Linked DNA regions of Styela clava. The main gene of each other region encodes a partner of the protein of the gene in region 2 in a complex. Links are inferred from orthologs where the notes say so. Each region holds a gene or a part of one and is shown on either strand. Other genes may lie near its edges.

Evidence for each region. Proteins that work in one complex are often made in the same cells at the same time.
Region 1: integrin alpha-V-like (region 2) and beta-parvin-like share a complex: the UniProt entries of both Caenorhabditis elegans proteins name them as parts of the integrin containing attachment complex. The link is inferred for Styela clava from reciprocal best matches to the Caenorhabditis elegans genes pat-2 and pat-6.

Annotation. Positions count from the first base shown.
Region 1 is NC_135255.1:14,757,674-14,766,592, reverse strand, and holds the start of beta-parvin-like, read left to right. Parts: upstream 1-5,478; 5' UTR 5,479-5,625; coding exon 5,626-5,722; intron 5,723-6,235; coding exon 6,236-6,390; intron 6,391-7,096; coding exon 7,097-7,225; intron 7,226-7,468; coding exon 7,469-7,586; intron 7,587-8,232; coding exon 8,233-8,333; intron 8,334-8,725; coding exon 8,726-8,799; intron 8,800-8,919. UniProt on the Caenorhabditis elegans protein: Involved in the regulation of cell adhesion and cytoskeleton organization. Component of an integrin containing attachment complex, which is required for muscle development and maintenance.
Region 2 is NC_135263.1:3,185,909-3,194,330, reverse strand, and holds the start of integrin alpha-V-like, read right to left. Parts: upstream 3,760-8,422; 5' UTR 3,666-3,759; coding exon 3,349-3,665; intron 645-3,348; coding exon 541-644; intron 146-540; coding exon 72-145; intron 1-71. UniProt on the Caenorhabditis elegans protein: Required for muscle development probably through the regulation of the actin-myosin cytoskeleton. Component of an integrin containing attachment complex, which is required for muscle maintenance.

The DNA of each region.
Region 1 (8,919 bases), on a different chromosome or scaffold from region 2:
CCAATGTTTCTAGGCAAACAATTGAAGAGTTGGTGGGAATGACCTTCTGACTTTTTTATAGTGTGAGGTAGTATAGAAAACATATTTCGTCATATTTTATTTTCGGTTCCACTATCGTCTCAACAGATGATATGTGTTCCTCGTTCACCTGAATAATGTGAATGCCATGAATACATCACGGCTCAATGATGTCTACAGAATTTGAGGGGATTTGACCTGTATGCGGCTGTACTGGTTCTATTGAAAAGTGAAATTCACTACGTGGACGATTTGTAATATTGCTTGCATTTCCGGTCTTAAAGCAAGTGAGGGTCGATTTCCGGATGTGAAATTGTCTGATTGGTTACGTTTGGCCAAGTTTGGTCCGAAATCACAATGCCTGACTATATAGATTTCTTCTTTGGCATTGCACATAAAAACGTCATCTCATGACAGGGAAATGGCAGTAATGCAACAAGTAATGGTTTTGAATTGGCAATAGTACAAGATATTGGAATCGCATTGAGTTTTAGCGCACGGTCTGTGGGCAGACAGCAAAGTTTCAATTACTTTCGTTTGTTTGTTATTTTGATTCATCTCGATTTTATATTTTCATTACAACAGTTGAGGTTTGATATGAAAATGACTTATGATTTTTAAAAAACGAAAATATATGTTGTAATGGAATCAGAATTGTATATATTTGCACAGCATTGGTTTGTTATTTTTACATACATATACCACTACCGTAAATTTGTAGTTGATTTGTGATTGCGCAATAGTTTGCTTGCTATTTCGTTATATAGCAACCCGTATTAGGTCATTCAGTAATCTATAAGTAAACTGTTATTGACAAAATTGATCTATTATATAGTTTTGAACTTGATCAATTTTGCTGCAGTACCATAATTAATATTATAGTTTAATGTGTCAAATTGTCTCATTACACATTCAAGCGAAAAATACATATAGAGAGTGATCGATGTAAATATTGAAACGAATAAAACTCACAAAATTCTATTCATTATATTGATGTAAAACGAAAAACGTAATTACTTTGTGCCTTTCATGAAATAAGCTTGAGTTTCAATGTCAATTTAATGTGTTCAGATAATGAAGGAAGATCAGGCAGGTGAGAAATGTTCAAATGTAGCAAACAACTATATAATCGATACTTTTCTTAGGTTCCGTAAAAAAGTGAACTATAGTGGTGGCAAATGATAATGATTTCAGCAATATATTGCCATGTAAAACTAATATGGTATTTAAGAACCGAATGTACCTAAACTGCTTTCTTTCGACAGAGTATTTATTTGGAACTCTATACTCCCTAAAACGTGATAGAACAAGTAAATTATGCTTTTGAATGGAGAGAAGTTTGAATGGAGAGAGTAAGACAAGGGGCACTTATGGTTAAAATGACAGAAAATTTCATTTTTTGTGATTTGTTGTTGCAAAGTTTTCATGAATCGGGATCTTATATTAGTTATTTTTAAAAAATCGCAATATGTAGTGGACTATGTTAATTATTGTATAAAATTGGCATTCATTTATCTATCGACTTTTTTTTATATATAGACAAATTAACTCATACAATCAAAGCAATTGATCCGCATTTCTGAGAAAACTTGGATTGTTGTAATGTGTCTTAATTCGTGATCAAAATAAATCCGAAACGGGACGAATTTAATGGATATATAATTTCCCCGTTCTATTTCTATGGCGCCTTAGAAGGTGATAACGAAAGATGGAAATATAAAGTACCGTGGATAGATATTGCCCTTGTTCTTACTACAAGTCGTTCATTCTTTTTAGTGTACCATTATCGACATTGTACTCTAACGACAGCAATATAAGATGATTATTATTTTATGATATTTTCAAACATATTTTCATCCCAATATTTTAGTTAGATTAAAATTTCAAATGTGAATTTTCTCAAGCACGTTGAAGTTTTTTGATCAATTATTTGTTAATCGATTTTGCTAAATTTATCGACTTTCAGACTTCACATAAATTCACAAAGACTGATAAAACTCTATCCCAGAATAAAATATTGATCACGTATTTTAAGTGCATAAAATGCACGTTTTGGGAATATATTGTAGTTTTGTGACGTTGATTGCACAGACGTCGGCGTATGAGAACACAATACATATAACAATATTCACACGAAGATCTGTTTAAGTATGGATGTTGTCGACACATAAACTTACATCATAGCATTCTTATAATATATTTAGCCCAATGGTGTGTATAGGTATTTTCGAATTGCGAATACTTTTTAGATTAGGCAGGATCAATAGCTATCACCACATTGTCAGAGTATGAACGAGAAATACACAGGATATGTAAAACTAACAAACATAGGGAGAAAAATAGTTTTATGGCTAAGAAAGCGAGTACTTAGAATATTGTTTGTATTAGATTTAAACTAAAAAGTCAAGCGAGCATTCTATTCCACATGTACGGCGAAAGCCTTTGTAGAAAGGGATTTGTCAATGATTCCACGATTTTTTTTATTGAAACTCTTCAGTGATTTTTCATTGATTTCGGTGCTTTTTCAAACAAATGAATTTCTTTTAAACGTCAGGATTGGTTTGGTTGAGTTTATGAAGTGAAAGAGGAATTTTTGTAAATGAATAAGAATATATTCCGAACCTAATTTATATTTTGTGACAATCGTTCCATTGGAACTTGACTAGTAAACAAGCATTACTTATTGAAATGAATGTTCTTTGAATTATTCATTGCAGATTAAATCCGTTGATAATTAATTTTTAGTAGCTTATTTATATCAAATTTTGTGTCAATTAGCTAGTTTTGTTCAATACAACTTCTAGACGTGTTTTTTGTGATACCGTATTGAAGAAAGCTAAAGAAAAGATATTCACAATGGCGCACATGGCTTGGTCGAATTGGGAAAATAAAGATGAATGTAAGTATTTTTATCGATTATTTGTCATGTTTATTCCTAGGCCTATCAATTCAACACACTCATTTCTTTTACTTTCAATGGTTATGGCATTACCACAAATATTTGTGACATGGTACAGCAGACTTAAGTGAGTTTGAAGTGGACCATTGAAATGCTTTGCTAACCTGTAGTTGTTCGTGCTCATGTTCGAGAAAACTACTGAACCAATGGTTTTCTAGTTTTCTTGAACATGAATGGTTTTGACAAATAACCGGCCTCTAGAGATCATGTCAAAGACCCATCAGACCACAAGATTCGCCACTTCAACTAAAGCAAAAGTGCCGTGGAATGATTTGGGAGATTTTAGCCATCCACAATGATGAATTGCTGGACGATGTGCACTGTTATAAAATACAAGATGACAAAAATCAGGTTAAAATAAAAAATGAAATAAAAGTTATCCATGGCGATATGAGAGTCCTGTACACGGACCGGATTGTACCGGCTTCAAAATAGCTGGAGGATGAGAAAAAGAGAAAACACTGCAAATCATATAGGCTATGGTGCTCCTCTGCCTCGCGTCGAGTTATCAGTCAAGATCTAATGAATTTTGGCAATCAAAAGCAAGCTCACTGTTTACGGGTGGGCAAGGTTTTTGAACCCAGGGCCATAAAATTTGCCCATCCACATTGGCGGGCCATGTAAGTGTGACGTAAAAGTTACATTATATGAACAATATTCACAGTGTTACAAGAGCAGACGTGGAAAGCAATAGGCCTCGTGCCGAAACTAAATTGAATCGCAAATTTACCAAATTCCTAGTTATTTTTAGCTGAAACATCAAAATTTGGTTTTAGTTTAGGTATGGCAGCATTAGGCAGTCCAGATTGAATTACTCAACTGGCCGGATTTGGCCCGCGGGCCGTAGTTTGTTCATGCCAGTTAAACCAACAAACCTCAAACGACAAACTGTCGATGTCCTCTCAATCAGTTCGGCGGAATTGAATATTTATCCTGCCTGTTGATTCTACAAATCGAAGGTCGGATCGTACGTTCATCGCTATTGGTTTTCCATTTTGAAGACGTCTGAAGGGTCGGTCTGTGTGTGAGTTATCCTTACGCATATTTGAATGGGCCCCCAATGCTGCAATGCATGAACATTTCTGGCGGATAGCGCGATAAACTACCCTATCCGCCAGACTAGGGTTAGTTCGGATACCTATAATTTTTACTATCCGGATAACGGATATATCCGGGTATTCCATATTTTAACTATCCGGTTGACCGGATAGTTACTGCTAATTTTAAAGATCCGATTTCGCAAGATTTTTACGGCGAATTGATCAAAAACCACCACACAGTTCTATTGTTAATAGCTCAAATTTGCAAGATCGCAAAAATACGAATAAAAACTGATATTATTTGTGCAGCTTACTACGTATTTTCATATATGCAGAATGCGGTGGCATTTTATAGTAGAAGTGCTTTAATTTCAACGTATGTCGACGCAATCGAGAGATACGTTGAACAGAGTTATTATGGAAAGACATTTTAAAATGCTCGAATCAGCCACAAATTGGTTATTTTGCGCAATAGAAAAATTTAAGAAGTTGAAAACATGCACATTACATGCATTCGTAAACCAAAAATTTAGAAATGCTACACAGATCACATAGATTACGAAGTATTGGGAATTAAGTCATGGCTTGTTCCAGCATGAAATGCGTTCCTTCAATACACGCAATAAACTAAAAGCCACACCTGACCAAAAAGCCACAAACCCACACCCACACATTCAATGCTTTTCAACCTAATTGGTGGCTAAATATGGGCAGAGTAGTGTGAATAGAAGGTGTTATTATATGCTCTGGAGTCTGGGAGATGTCAAGACGCCACTCAACAAAAAATATAAAAATTACTAATGCGCATATACATTATTTATATTCCTCTATTATCCGGTTAACCGTCACAATATTATCCGGATATCAGATAGTAAAATACCTCTCGGTTAATCGGTTATCCGGATAACCGCTATCCGGATAATCCAACTCTACGCCAGACATCGGTAGAATGAGACAACCGATTGGATACCGGTACCGGTACTTATTTGTAAGAATATTTGGTTTCGGTGATTAGACTTATACAAATTTGTTTTGGTGGGAGGCAGCACCGGTGGGTGTGCCAGTGACGTCATAGGTATTGCCGCCGTATACGGCTCATTCTTAATTCAGTAATTGCGTTTTCAGGATAATATGTGCGTTTGGCTTCCCCGACAGATCATTTAGATTTTTGAGGTACCGGGACGTTGAACTATATTATATTAATAACAAATAGACTAGAGTGTTCAGTTTTTCAAATGATAATCTAACATGGAATTCGCACAAAAATCCATTGTGCCGTTGTAGCATACGGTAACTGAACTGAACACAGTTCCGCAGTTTGAACTGCTGAGGTACGGTACCGGTACCGTACGGTATCCGCGAACATTCAACAGTTTCTGTCAATGTCAGAATGTGGCAGAAAGGAGATGTTGTTAATTCTGAAACAGCGGTAGCAGCATATACCAGTATACATATATCTGGATATAGTGAAATTATTGTACCTCATTATTTCAATATTTGAATGAATTAATTGATAACAATTGATGAACACATCACCAAACTCTGAAACTTATGAATTCAGTTGAATTAGAAGCATTGTAATTTGAAATTAAACAACGGATATACAAAATGTCATACCAGAAATCTCCCGCAAGAAGGGAACCGGAAAAATCTGAAGGATTTTTTTCATTAACACTTGGACGCAAGAAAAAGCAACGAGATTCTGGTATATTCAGATATTGGATGGAACTTTATCATACATTGGCAATTCTTTGTCAGATCATATAAAGATTGGTGTTGCCGCTCCCCTTTTCTATTGTAGATTTCTAGGTTCTTTGTTATCGAATCAAATATAAATTAATTTTTGTTAAATTATAAAGACCTGTGTTGCTATTTCTATTTCAAATTTTCAATGTACTAATGCCACAAATTACCCAATTACAGAATAGTGTCACCAAGTAATTGGTTGATTTGTAGTTGATATTGAATCAAATATAAAGCCACAAATTGTAATTTTTATGTGGCCATATTTTGATCATACAAATCTTATTATCAACTGTCATCAAAAGTATATTTTTAATCATAACTTTGTCAACTTGGCCTTTGGCGAGTAAAAACATTGTTATAATTGTGGTATCTTAAATTACTTTTGTTAAAATCGTTAGAATTTTTACTCCTTCCTTTTTTCGAAACTATTTTAATGTGAGTGTGTACTCTAACTTTTGATTTTCTCTTGCAGTAAATGCATTGGACATAGAAGCTCGAGATGCAATTGATGGAGGTACAGTCACACAAGAGATTGATCCTTCGAGTTTCCATTTAGAAGAAGGAGAAGAGAGATCTATGATCGATCAAAAATCAAGAGAAGCTAAAGATGTTGTGGATCTTGAGCGGGTGTGAATTGAATTTCATTAGAGTTGTACAGGGTGACCTAAAAACAGAACACATAAATTTCTTAATAAATACTTTAAAAAAATTATTTAATTTTGTTTAATTTAGTCCTAATAGTATGTGCGTGTGATTGACAACTCTGGATTCGTTACATTACTCACTCACTTTATGTGTGAATATTAAAAAAACTACATAATATATCATTATTCTTATTTAATTTTTTGTTTAATATACTACTGTTAATATATTGATTATAATGGTTGATGAAAACCCTGTCAAAGGACATTACCTAATTATTAATCTTGACAGCTCATGTTTGCTAATAGGTAAATTATATAGATAAAAAAAATTTCAGTAGGTCTAGTCTGGTAGTATTTCCGGCTGTTTCATCTGTTTGAACAAACCCTATTCCATCTGTTCTCCTCCAAGGGGGCCACAACGCAGTCAGAGAAGGCCACAATGCTAGACGCAAAACTCATTTTACTTTTCACTTTACAAGAAAACCTCGCGTTCTTCCTAGTTTCATTGCTCGATAAGGTTATTTCGCAGAGTGTTTTCACTTTGCTGAGTATAAATTGTTTGAACATATTGGGATTTGAAATCTACCAATCAAGATAACACTATAAATATCACTGATTTAATAAACAGGAAAGCCATGAGCCATAAAAGGTTGGAAACCACTGCCTTACTCTGATTGCTTCTGTTTTAGGTTCTCATGGAATGGATTGATGATGTTCTTGTCGAACAAAGAATTATTGTTAAAAATATACAAGAAGATTTGTTTGATGGACAAGTTTTGCAGAAACTTTTAGAAAAACTTGGTGATGTCAAGTTACAGGTTGGCTTGACTTTTTTCTATTATCGTTCTATTTCTTTACTCCTGCCAAACCTATCTCAATCTTGCTCATATTGAGTGTAAAAATTACTCACTGTTTTAATGAGATAGCTAGTCAATTACAACGGGGAGTTTTTCTGTAATATAATTTTTAATACCTTTCCAAGATAAATTCAAATTTAGACATGACATTGTTTCTGTATACCTATACAACAAAAATATGATATTGTACTACGAAACATTTAGGTTCCGGAAGTTACGCAAACAGCTCAAGGACAAAAAGATAAACTCAGGGCAGTTCTAGATAAAGTCAGTCAACAACTACAAATACAAAGCTGGAATGAAACTAAATGGAGTGTTGATAGTAAGTATTTTACAATGTAATTTTTTTTAGGACACACACAAGCATAATCCAAGAAAATAAAATTTAAATTTTAGCTCGCATTTTTGTTAATTATAATTATCAAGACTGCTTTCTGAAAATGATTATGATCGGAACATTCTGTGTCATCAGTTTTTTTTGACTTATCTCAATAGGATAGGATTTTCATATTTTAAAGGGAAAGAGTGAAGCCTATAAGACAGCTTAATTATATTGTTAATTATGACATCTCATCCAGTTACTAGCCCACTACACACTTGATTATCTTGTAAGGATTCAAAACCACACCATGCCATTTCCATGACTATAGACAAGCTCTTTCGAGACATATTTTACCTAAAATTTTTTGGTACTCCCGAAGTATGTGTGCCAGGTTGAGGTTGGGCCATAATTTTATTTCGATTTTCCTTATTTTAGTGCTATTACGAGTTCGAGGAATGTCTGTGTTAGCCGAGTAAATATCCCCCTGCCCATAGGTTTCAGTCCCTTCACATAACTTGATGTAAAATAGGCGAACAAAATTGGTGACCTCCATATTGGCATACATACTTCTCGAGCGCCAATTTTTTTAATTCAGTGTTTTTCTGAAATCATTACTGCTGTGTTTATGACTTTTCACCTTTTTCAGGTATCCATTCAAAGAATCTTATTGCAATACTTCATTTACTAGTAGCACTTGCTGCCCATTATAAAGCACCGATACGATTGCCAGAAGATGTTCATATTAAAGTATGTTGTTTTTATATGCTGCTTATGTATCATTATTCTATTATTATTTGTGTATTTGGCTGTGATATATTTTAATTCTAGCTTGATAAATCAAGTCCTTAATTGTAAATTATGCAATTCCAACTTCTGCAGATAAATACCCTTTCATGTGATCATTACTTACATTTATCAAATCTTATTTTTATCCCATAATCATTTTTGAAATAAGGAATCTTCAGTATTCATGACATTTTTATATAACAATTTAAATGTCAATTGTTTTTGTCCGTCTGTTATAAGGTTGTAGATGTATTTGTATATCATCAGGTCAATACTTGATATTTATGGACTCATTAACTTTCTTTTTTGTCTGTCTTCAATTATTCTTAAACGATTGAAACACTTTTCTTTAGGTTGTTGTTGTCAAGAAAGTTGGTGGAAAGTTAGAACACAGAATGGTTGAGGAGCAAATCACTTCTACCATGGAGTAAGTTGAATTGTAAAATGTATCTAATTATTTCAATTGCTTTGTAATAAATTACGATATGTTATAAATAATGAATTGAAATATAGGTATCATTCGTTATAATCGAGTGATGTTTTTGTC
Region 2 (8,422 bases):
ACTTAACATTTTTAAAACACGTGTTAGGAATATGTAGATTACCAATTTTGTAATCAATATGATGAACTTACCATTAACTGTTTATCTTCTCCTGTCAACATTGTCATTCCAAACATATCTTTGATCTGTTGAGATGGGACATCATCTGTTACGAAAGAGTAAGAATGAAGCTGATATACTAAATTATATTTATATATGTTTTCTGTCTAACATTGCGAGCCCGTCTCACACTGTTATTTTCATGGTTACTAAAACTGTGGTGATTGGAGTCAACATTTTTTTGTTGAAACGGTGGTGTCGAAGTGCTGCCGCTCAATAACTAGAGTTGGTTTTCGGCACTCTGACATGCAATTTTGTTTTCAATTTCATTGAATTTGTGTGTGTATAGTTCTTATTATCAATAAGATGGAAAATTCTGGTGCAAAATATTAGCTTTTTACTTGGAAGTTCCCGCTTTTTAATGCATTTATCAAAGTAGGCAATTTGAGCTCGGAAACACTGCAATTTCTATTAGTTGACTTTGTATTTTATAAAATATACCTTTAGAAACTTTTATTCTTGTACAGTTGCTGTGCGTGTTAACTTCATATTTGCATTTGTATATTTCACCACGTTCTAAAGATTTTGGAGCTCCAACAATAAGCCTGAAAATAGAAAATTAATGCTTTTAATATTATAATATCTATATATATACTGAACAGAGGGAAAGACTTTGGTCCGAGATAAGATGAATGCACATGCAAAATCTGGATTAGAATCAATCTCGCTTTCGTAAGATATCGCGTGCATCTAACAGACATACAGGCAGACAAATACCTATCAACATACTTACCGATTAAAATCGATAAGTAATAATCCGAAAGGGGCGCGCAAGACTGCAAGGTTGACCGAGCCCTAAAGCAGATTCTTATCAGGACAAGGCACAGGCAAACATATTTACAATATTAAAACACTCCTTTTAAGTCAGGAGAAAAAAAATAATCATCATCGACTGCTTATAGATGGTTACCTAATTCATTACAACAATTATTCAAACATCGATATAAAACAGTGTGGAATTACGGTCCTGGTAAAAGAAAGTCAATATCTGGCGAAATTTATTTTATTTTAATGAATATTTGATAACCAATAATCGGTATGGTGAAGCAATCATGTGTGTGTGTATTTTGGCACAAAATGCAAACTAGGACTTTTTGACATTAAATAAACTTTTCATAATTTATCACAATTTTTTACATTATATTTTTTCAAGCTCAACTCATATGTAATCAGGTATAACGATATACATACCGGTATATAAAACGATTCTACAATGAGCAAAATGCAATTTTTGATTAAATGCGTTTAAAAAATTGTGGCTATACTTGCCATGATTTTGCAACCCAATGTTGGACATAGGTACAAAATCTAAGACAAGCTTGTTTTAACCCGCACAGTTTGCCATAGTTCTCTTTGTTTTGTGTTTTACTGGACAAGAAGTCGAGCTCATGGATTGTTCGATTCGCACTGTTTGCTGAAGTGTATTTTCATTTTTGTGCATTTAAGATTTATTGCCTGATTATATATCATGTATGTTCATTTTATTATGTTCTTCAACTGTTTTTGGTGGATGGGTCCAAACTTGTATGTTAAACTTTGCTTGCTATATTATGCCCGTCCTCCAGGTCTTCAGCATTTTGTTGGCCTACTTGTTTAGTTTTATGCCAGAGTGACCAAAATGAAATTAATTGATTGATCAAAGTTGGTGGTTCAGAATATTGAAAATTATGAAACAAAGTGTAGCATAATTATCTTTTCCATCATAGACATTCCTGTCAGTCTAGATGTCAGGCTATTACATCAACTTTCAACCCGAATAACCCACAAACTACATTGAATAAGTTGTGGTCTAGCCTTGCCAACTTGTATTAGGCAGAAACAAAGCTAATTAGTCTAATTAATTCCCGTGAGATGTGATCAGATGTTATCAATGTCTATGGGGAATAACTAATAGCATACTCATGTCTGTTGTATGTCCTGTATTGTCTGTGCCTTAACATGTTCCGAGATATTATTTTTAGAAGAGCACATAGTATGTGATGGGTAATGTTTAACAGCTATACATTAATCTATTCAAGCTTGGACAAAATATAAGTTTCTTCTTCAACTTTTCATTCTGAAAATTTAGAGACATATATCTCTACAAGCTTTCCAGAGACAATGTGATAATTTGGGAGAGAAGAAGAAAATTTGGATACATGTAACACTCACAAGCTTTCTAGATAATGAGACAACTTTTTTTATTATTCATATAAGTTTGATCAAAGTAATGTCAATAACTAATGGGTGGTTCACATAACTGCTGGTCGGTTGAGGCTTCCTCTACCATCAAATCCATGCATCTGAAAACAAATACCTGGCTAACTAATCCCATACCCGACATGGACTGGTAACCGGACGAGAGGCCGTGGTTCGCCAAATGATTGAGCCGGCATATCGGCTCTTCTTTCCCTTTGCAATTTTATAAAAAGTTGAGACACCCTATACTTCTTTGAACATTCCTAATTTCCTATTGGAATCACATGATTTCCAAACCACTAATATTTGCAATATGCAGTATTTACTATCTCTTGCTGTTTTCCTGATGGTATGGATGTTTCCCCGACCCTTGACCCCGAAATATTTTTTCCTATATAGTACTAAATAAAAAAAAAAATTAACCAGAGAAACATCCATTGAATTGAACTGCTTCAGGTTTCGTGTCAATCAGTATTTACTAGTCTGTAATGCAGGGGTGTGCAACCTTCAATACTGGAGGGCCACATACAAATAACTGGGCCACACCTTTATTTAACATAGGCTCTCTAGTAATTGCAGGCACAAAAAATATGTTGTTGATATTATGATATGTTGTTCGTTTCGCACAAGCTAGCTGTTAGGGCATTGTGACATCATAGGCATAGATAATAAATTTGGTTCCGATATAGGCTTTGCAACTTGGGAATTACTCGCACTCACCAGATTGAACTGAATTAAAAACTCGTTTCAAGGGCCGCACATCATTTAAAATTGGCACTTCTCCGCAGGCCGCACTATTTTTTCTTGTGGCCTGCAACCACAGTTTGCACACCCCTGGCATAATGTATTACTATTAATCTATATACTGTAGTTTCAATTTCTCTCGAAACTTTCTTGATCACCCGCGACTTTCCTCAGAAATGAGTCTTCATTACTTCTCTGAGTGTGTGCTTGTAGCTCTGGGCATTTCAGTAGTTGTCCATAACTTTGCTGAGAGATGAATCTTCCTCACTTCTGGGTGAGTGTTCGTGACCTTGCTCTGAGCAAAATATTATTAAAATATTCACTTACCAAGATTCGCCTTCACTTGAGTACATTCCTACTGTGTATCCAAAATATGATTTCTTTTCCGGTATCGTAACAAGAGTAGGAAATTTAACATCCAAATTAAATCCTTCCACATAATTGTGAGTCATAAATAAAAGGCAATGAAGCGTAAAAATAGTCAATAATATATTTGAAGTCCTTATTGAAAACCGTGGCATGGATTTTGAAACCATAATTTGTCTATTTTCAATTGATTCAGTAGAGGAATGCCCATGCCCTGGCATGTCTCTGTGTTGGCATTTTGTCATCTGCTTCTGGTCTTCTGTCATCAGAATATCCATTCCAATTGTGATTTCAGTATGATGTCACAATGCACCAAAGGAAGACAAAGGTTATTAACGGTCAGATAAAATTAAATTATGGATACAGTGTCTGCTAAATGTAGACAATAAACAGATAATAGAATGACATGAATTTCCTTTATAATATCTATTTATAAATGCAGAAACTCATTTAAATTCTAATCTCACAGAAACACAATTCCATGACCATAAAAGGAAAGTAAAAGAGGTGACATTACTTCCTTGAATAATGAATGGTTATGTATAGATTAAAAGAATTTCAAATAGGAACTTTAATAATATATTCTCCTCTGCTCATAAATACCTATACCACACAAGGTCGAGAGACTGCAATAGACTTGCCCACAGATGTATAATATTCTCATTTATTGAAAAACATGAGTAACACCTTCTGGGATAGAATGCTACATTGATCCATAATTTTATTTACTTATGCTTTGCAGTCATATGTGACTGGCAACTTAATATTGCTTATATATGGCACGGATATATTACTAACAAAACAGAATATATCCCAAGCATGGCAGTATATGACTAAAACCATCTGTAACAGATTAACTACACATAACGCTGCATAAATACATGGAAAACTACTAACTTGTGCAAACATCGTAACTGGTATTATCGTAACTGGTATTTTGTTTGGTGGTTCCTGACTTGAAAATTAAATAGCACCAAATGGAGGGTTCATGCACTACTGAAATGAACAACTATAACTTAAATGTCTTGCAACAATAACTGACCACATTTGCCAGTTAGATCAAAAGTCAACTGGTGTATATAAATGAGGAAATGCGCCTAGTTTTGTTTAATTCGTGCAAGATTGCTCCAACTTGTTCCTAACGAAAAATAGTATTGACTGAAGAGGTGCAGGAAACCACTGGTATGCTAGGAAATATAGATAGGTTAATTTTTCAATAAAGTTGTCAGTGGATAAAGGTTGTCACAATATTTCAAACTGATCAAGTTAACAATGTCTTGAGAACATCTACGAGGCAAAACATTGTAGAGGGAATTTTATAAAGTACATCTGTGTGGACGAAATAACTCATAGAATGAAAGTTTTGTTGGTAAAGATCTATTGCCTGTGTTTGTCTTGGGCCATATTTTTCAAATGACCTATGGTGACTCTAATTGTCTGTATTAAATGGACAGCTATAACTTAAATGTCTTGCAACTATAACTTAACTGAACACAATTTGCCGGCTAGATCAACAGTCAACTGATGTATATAAATGAGGAAATGCGCCTTGTTTTGATATAATGATTTCAATCATAAACTTGCTATTAAACACCACTTCCTGCCTCTGCCGTGCAGGTGGAGTTTGACTGAAACATTCTGACAATATATAGTAGACCAGCCATTCCTAACCCCCTTTGACACATTCCTCTCTTGGCCTTTTTAAGTTTCAAATTCCTCCCTTGGTTGTTTAATCTTTCAGGAACAATTGCTCGCGATATGTGCAACTTGACTTTTTAGTACATTTTGAATAGGCCATAATGTATGAATATAATATGCAATAAAGAATACCAAATAATTACGAAATATTAGCAAGACATGCAAATACAAAGAAAAACTATTCATATTACCCAAAAGCATTCTAATTCGGTCGGGAAACGTTGAATTAGACCAACTTTCGTTAAGACAAATGTAGTATTTTAGGCTGTTACAAACTCATTGAAATATAGCTGAAAACAGGACCAACAAAATGTAAAGATCTGTTTTAATTCAACAATATTGTAAACGTTGATAGTAGTAAAAATCTGCATCGCAATGTATTATCGCTTCAATTCGCAGAAATCTGAAATTACGTTCAGCAGTAAGAACTGCGTGGGCGGGCAAGCCAGGTCGAATGCCGCATCACAACGCGCAAAACTCGAGAAAAATGCCGCCATTATGCCTGTGCACACAACGTTCGCGGCGTTACTAGAACGCTTTACAAAGTGCATTGAGATTGAAATGAAGCGAAACTCTGACTCGACCACGGCACGAAATCTGGTCGATTTTATCTTATCTAGACATATTTAATTTGCGTTGAACATAATATGGTCTTAAATGTCATGTAAATAGTTTCCCCCAAGGACGCTTTTAAGCTCATTGTAGATGAGAGGTTGGAAATATAAAGTTGGAAATATGGTCCGAATCGCCGATCAATTGGTACTACCGAAATATGTGAACCAAGATGACGGACACCGAAACCTAGTAAGCGTACCAGGTTAGGGTTAGGCCATAATTTCTGGTACAAATACTACGGGAGTCATATTGCTAGTCCCCGAAGTCGTAAAAGAACTAAAATAATTACTACGTTCCGGTGTCCGCCACCAAATAATTGGCCTGCTCTCATATAGAAGTATATTTGAGTGCTATTTGGACACCAGATTTGATTTTAAGGAATTACAATCACATTTACGGGTATAGCTATTGTGAACCGCATGCTGTTTATCACGCCCTTATTAATCATGTCGTTTATCATCTGCTGAGCGCGTAGAAGTGTAAATAGCTAACTATGGCAATTTGGAATGTTGAATATTTACCCATCGACTGTTTACTTCCCGTCCTATGGGTAGACGAAACAGATAACCTTTCTTTGATAGCCAGTTAACATATTTTTGTGGTTGGAATATATTTTCTTACGATAACGCCCCAACGTGTAAAACACGATACTGACACCTGCGCGGCTAATGTGCTTTAGAAAATATTTGAATCTTTCCTGTACAATAGTCCAACTAATTAATGAATATATGTAATGTTTTGCAAACCACACGAAAAGCTGTCTTGTAGACATTGAGCCATTTTCAATTCAATTTGTAATGAATATGCCAGTGGTTCTCAAAACGGTGGGGCGTAGGCAATTTTTTGAGGGGCGTGAAGCTCATTAAAAATAAAAATATTTGTTAAATTTGATCTTGCTCGCCTTATTTTGGATATTTACATTTCTTTATTTTGGATATTAACGTTCGATCCACATCCACATTTTCAACGTGTTTTCCGAATAAAACAAACTTTCGCCTTACTATCTGTTAGTGTAGCTTATGTCAGCTACTTTTTGAGATGAGACGCGAAACTTGACGAATTCTGATAATGGGGCTCGGCTTAAAAAGTTCAAGAACCACTGAAATATGCGATTGTGCCTAACTCGAACCTTCCTTCATCCTAATTTGCTATTTTACCTGGTACGGGCTTCATGATACAATACGACTGACAACTTACCACAAATTAGTAGCGTCTAACAGTTTGGTATTCTACACTTTAATAAACATGCGGCGCTTTGTGCATTTGATTATTTTAATCTTCCCATTCCCGATATTGCCACAAAAGGGTTACCGTACATTTGAACCCACGTACATTTGAACCCATGTGTATATCCGCGGAAATCCCGAAATACGATTTGGATACAAAATATTTTGGAAATCCTGAAATACGAAAACCCTTTATATTACTCTTTCACATACTTTTTGCCACAACTTTTTTTTTTCGCCTTTACTACGACTAGTTGGCACAATAGCAGAATAATGAGAATATCATCTGTATTTTTTCTTAATATCACAATACCAAAACCCTTTACCAAACTCTCACATATACATTTTGCCGCCACATTACGCCTCGCGTTATTTTACTAACATTACCTACTGAGATAAAAACGAGAATATCGGTCGGAGACTTATCGAAAACTAATTAATAACTCGCTAATTATAAAAAAAATTATTAATCAATTAATAACTTAATAATTCTGGTCCGAGATTTGGTGAATGCACATGCAAAATTTGGAGCAGATTCAACCACGCCTTCGTGAGATATCGCGTGCATCTACCAGACAAACAGACAAATACCTATCAGCATACTTACCGATCTAAAGATCGATAAGTAATAACGACAATCAACATAACGAACGAAAACGATAGGTCCACTTCTTGTCCAATAAGAATAGTTTGGCAATAACCTAACGTAACTTATTCTATGAGTGCTGGGCGCAATAACACAACATATAAACACATCTGTATTTTTATCGCAATACGATAACCTTTTACTAAATTCTCGCAGATTGTAGCACCATTGTAGCATGAACACACGAGACATACGTACAATTAATTGCCTCAAGATTAAGAGAAAATGATAGCGCGATAAACTAGCCTAACTTAGTGGGGCACAATAACATAATAGAATTTGTATTTTTACGTAAATATTGCAATACGAAAACCCTTATCTGAACTCTCTTTGCTGTCATTGCAGCGCATATGTAAGGCATTTTCAAAACACATGAGACAAACGTTCAATTAATTGTCTTCTACTGAGATTTGAAAATGATAGCGCGATAACCTAACGAATGTGGCGGGTCAATACCAAAATAGCGCCTGTATTTTTACTTAAATATCGCCATACGGAAACCCTTTACTAAATTATTTCACAGATACTCCTTTCGCCGCCATTGTAGCGCGCATGTAGAATATTTTCAAAACACACAAGACTTACGTTCAATTCATTGCCTACTAAGATTAAGAGAGAAGGACAGCGCGATAACCTAGTCTAACTATAGTGGGGCACAATACCAAAATAGCATCTTTGTTTTCACCAAATATCACAATACGAAAACCTTCAACCAAACTCTTATAGCTACTCCGTTTGCCGCCATTGTATCGCGAATGTAAAAAAAATTCAAAACACATGAGACTTCAACAAGCAAAGAGTCCGAATCCCTCGAGGCTATTTTGAAAACTAGTAGTTATTACTTCTTATT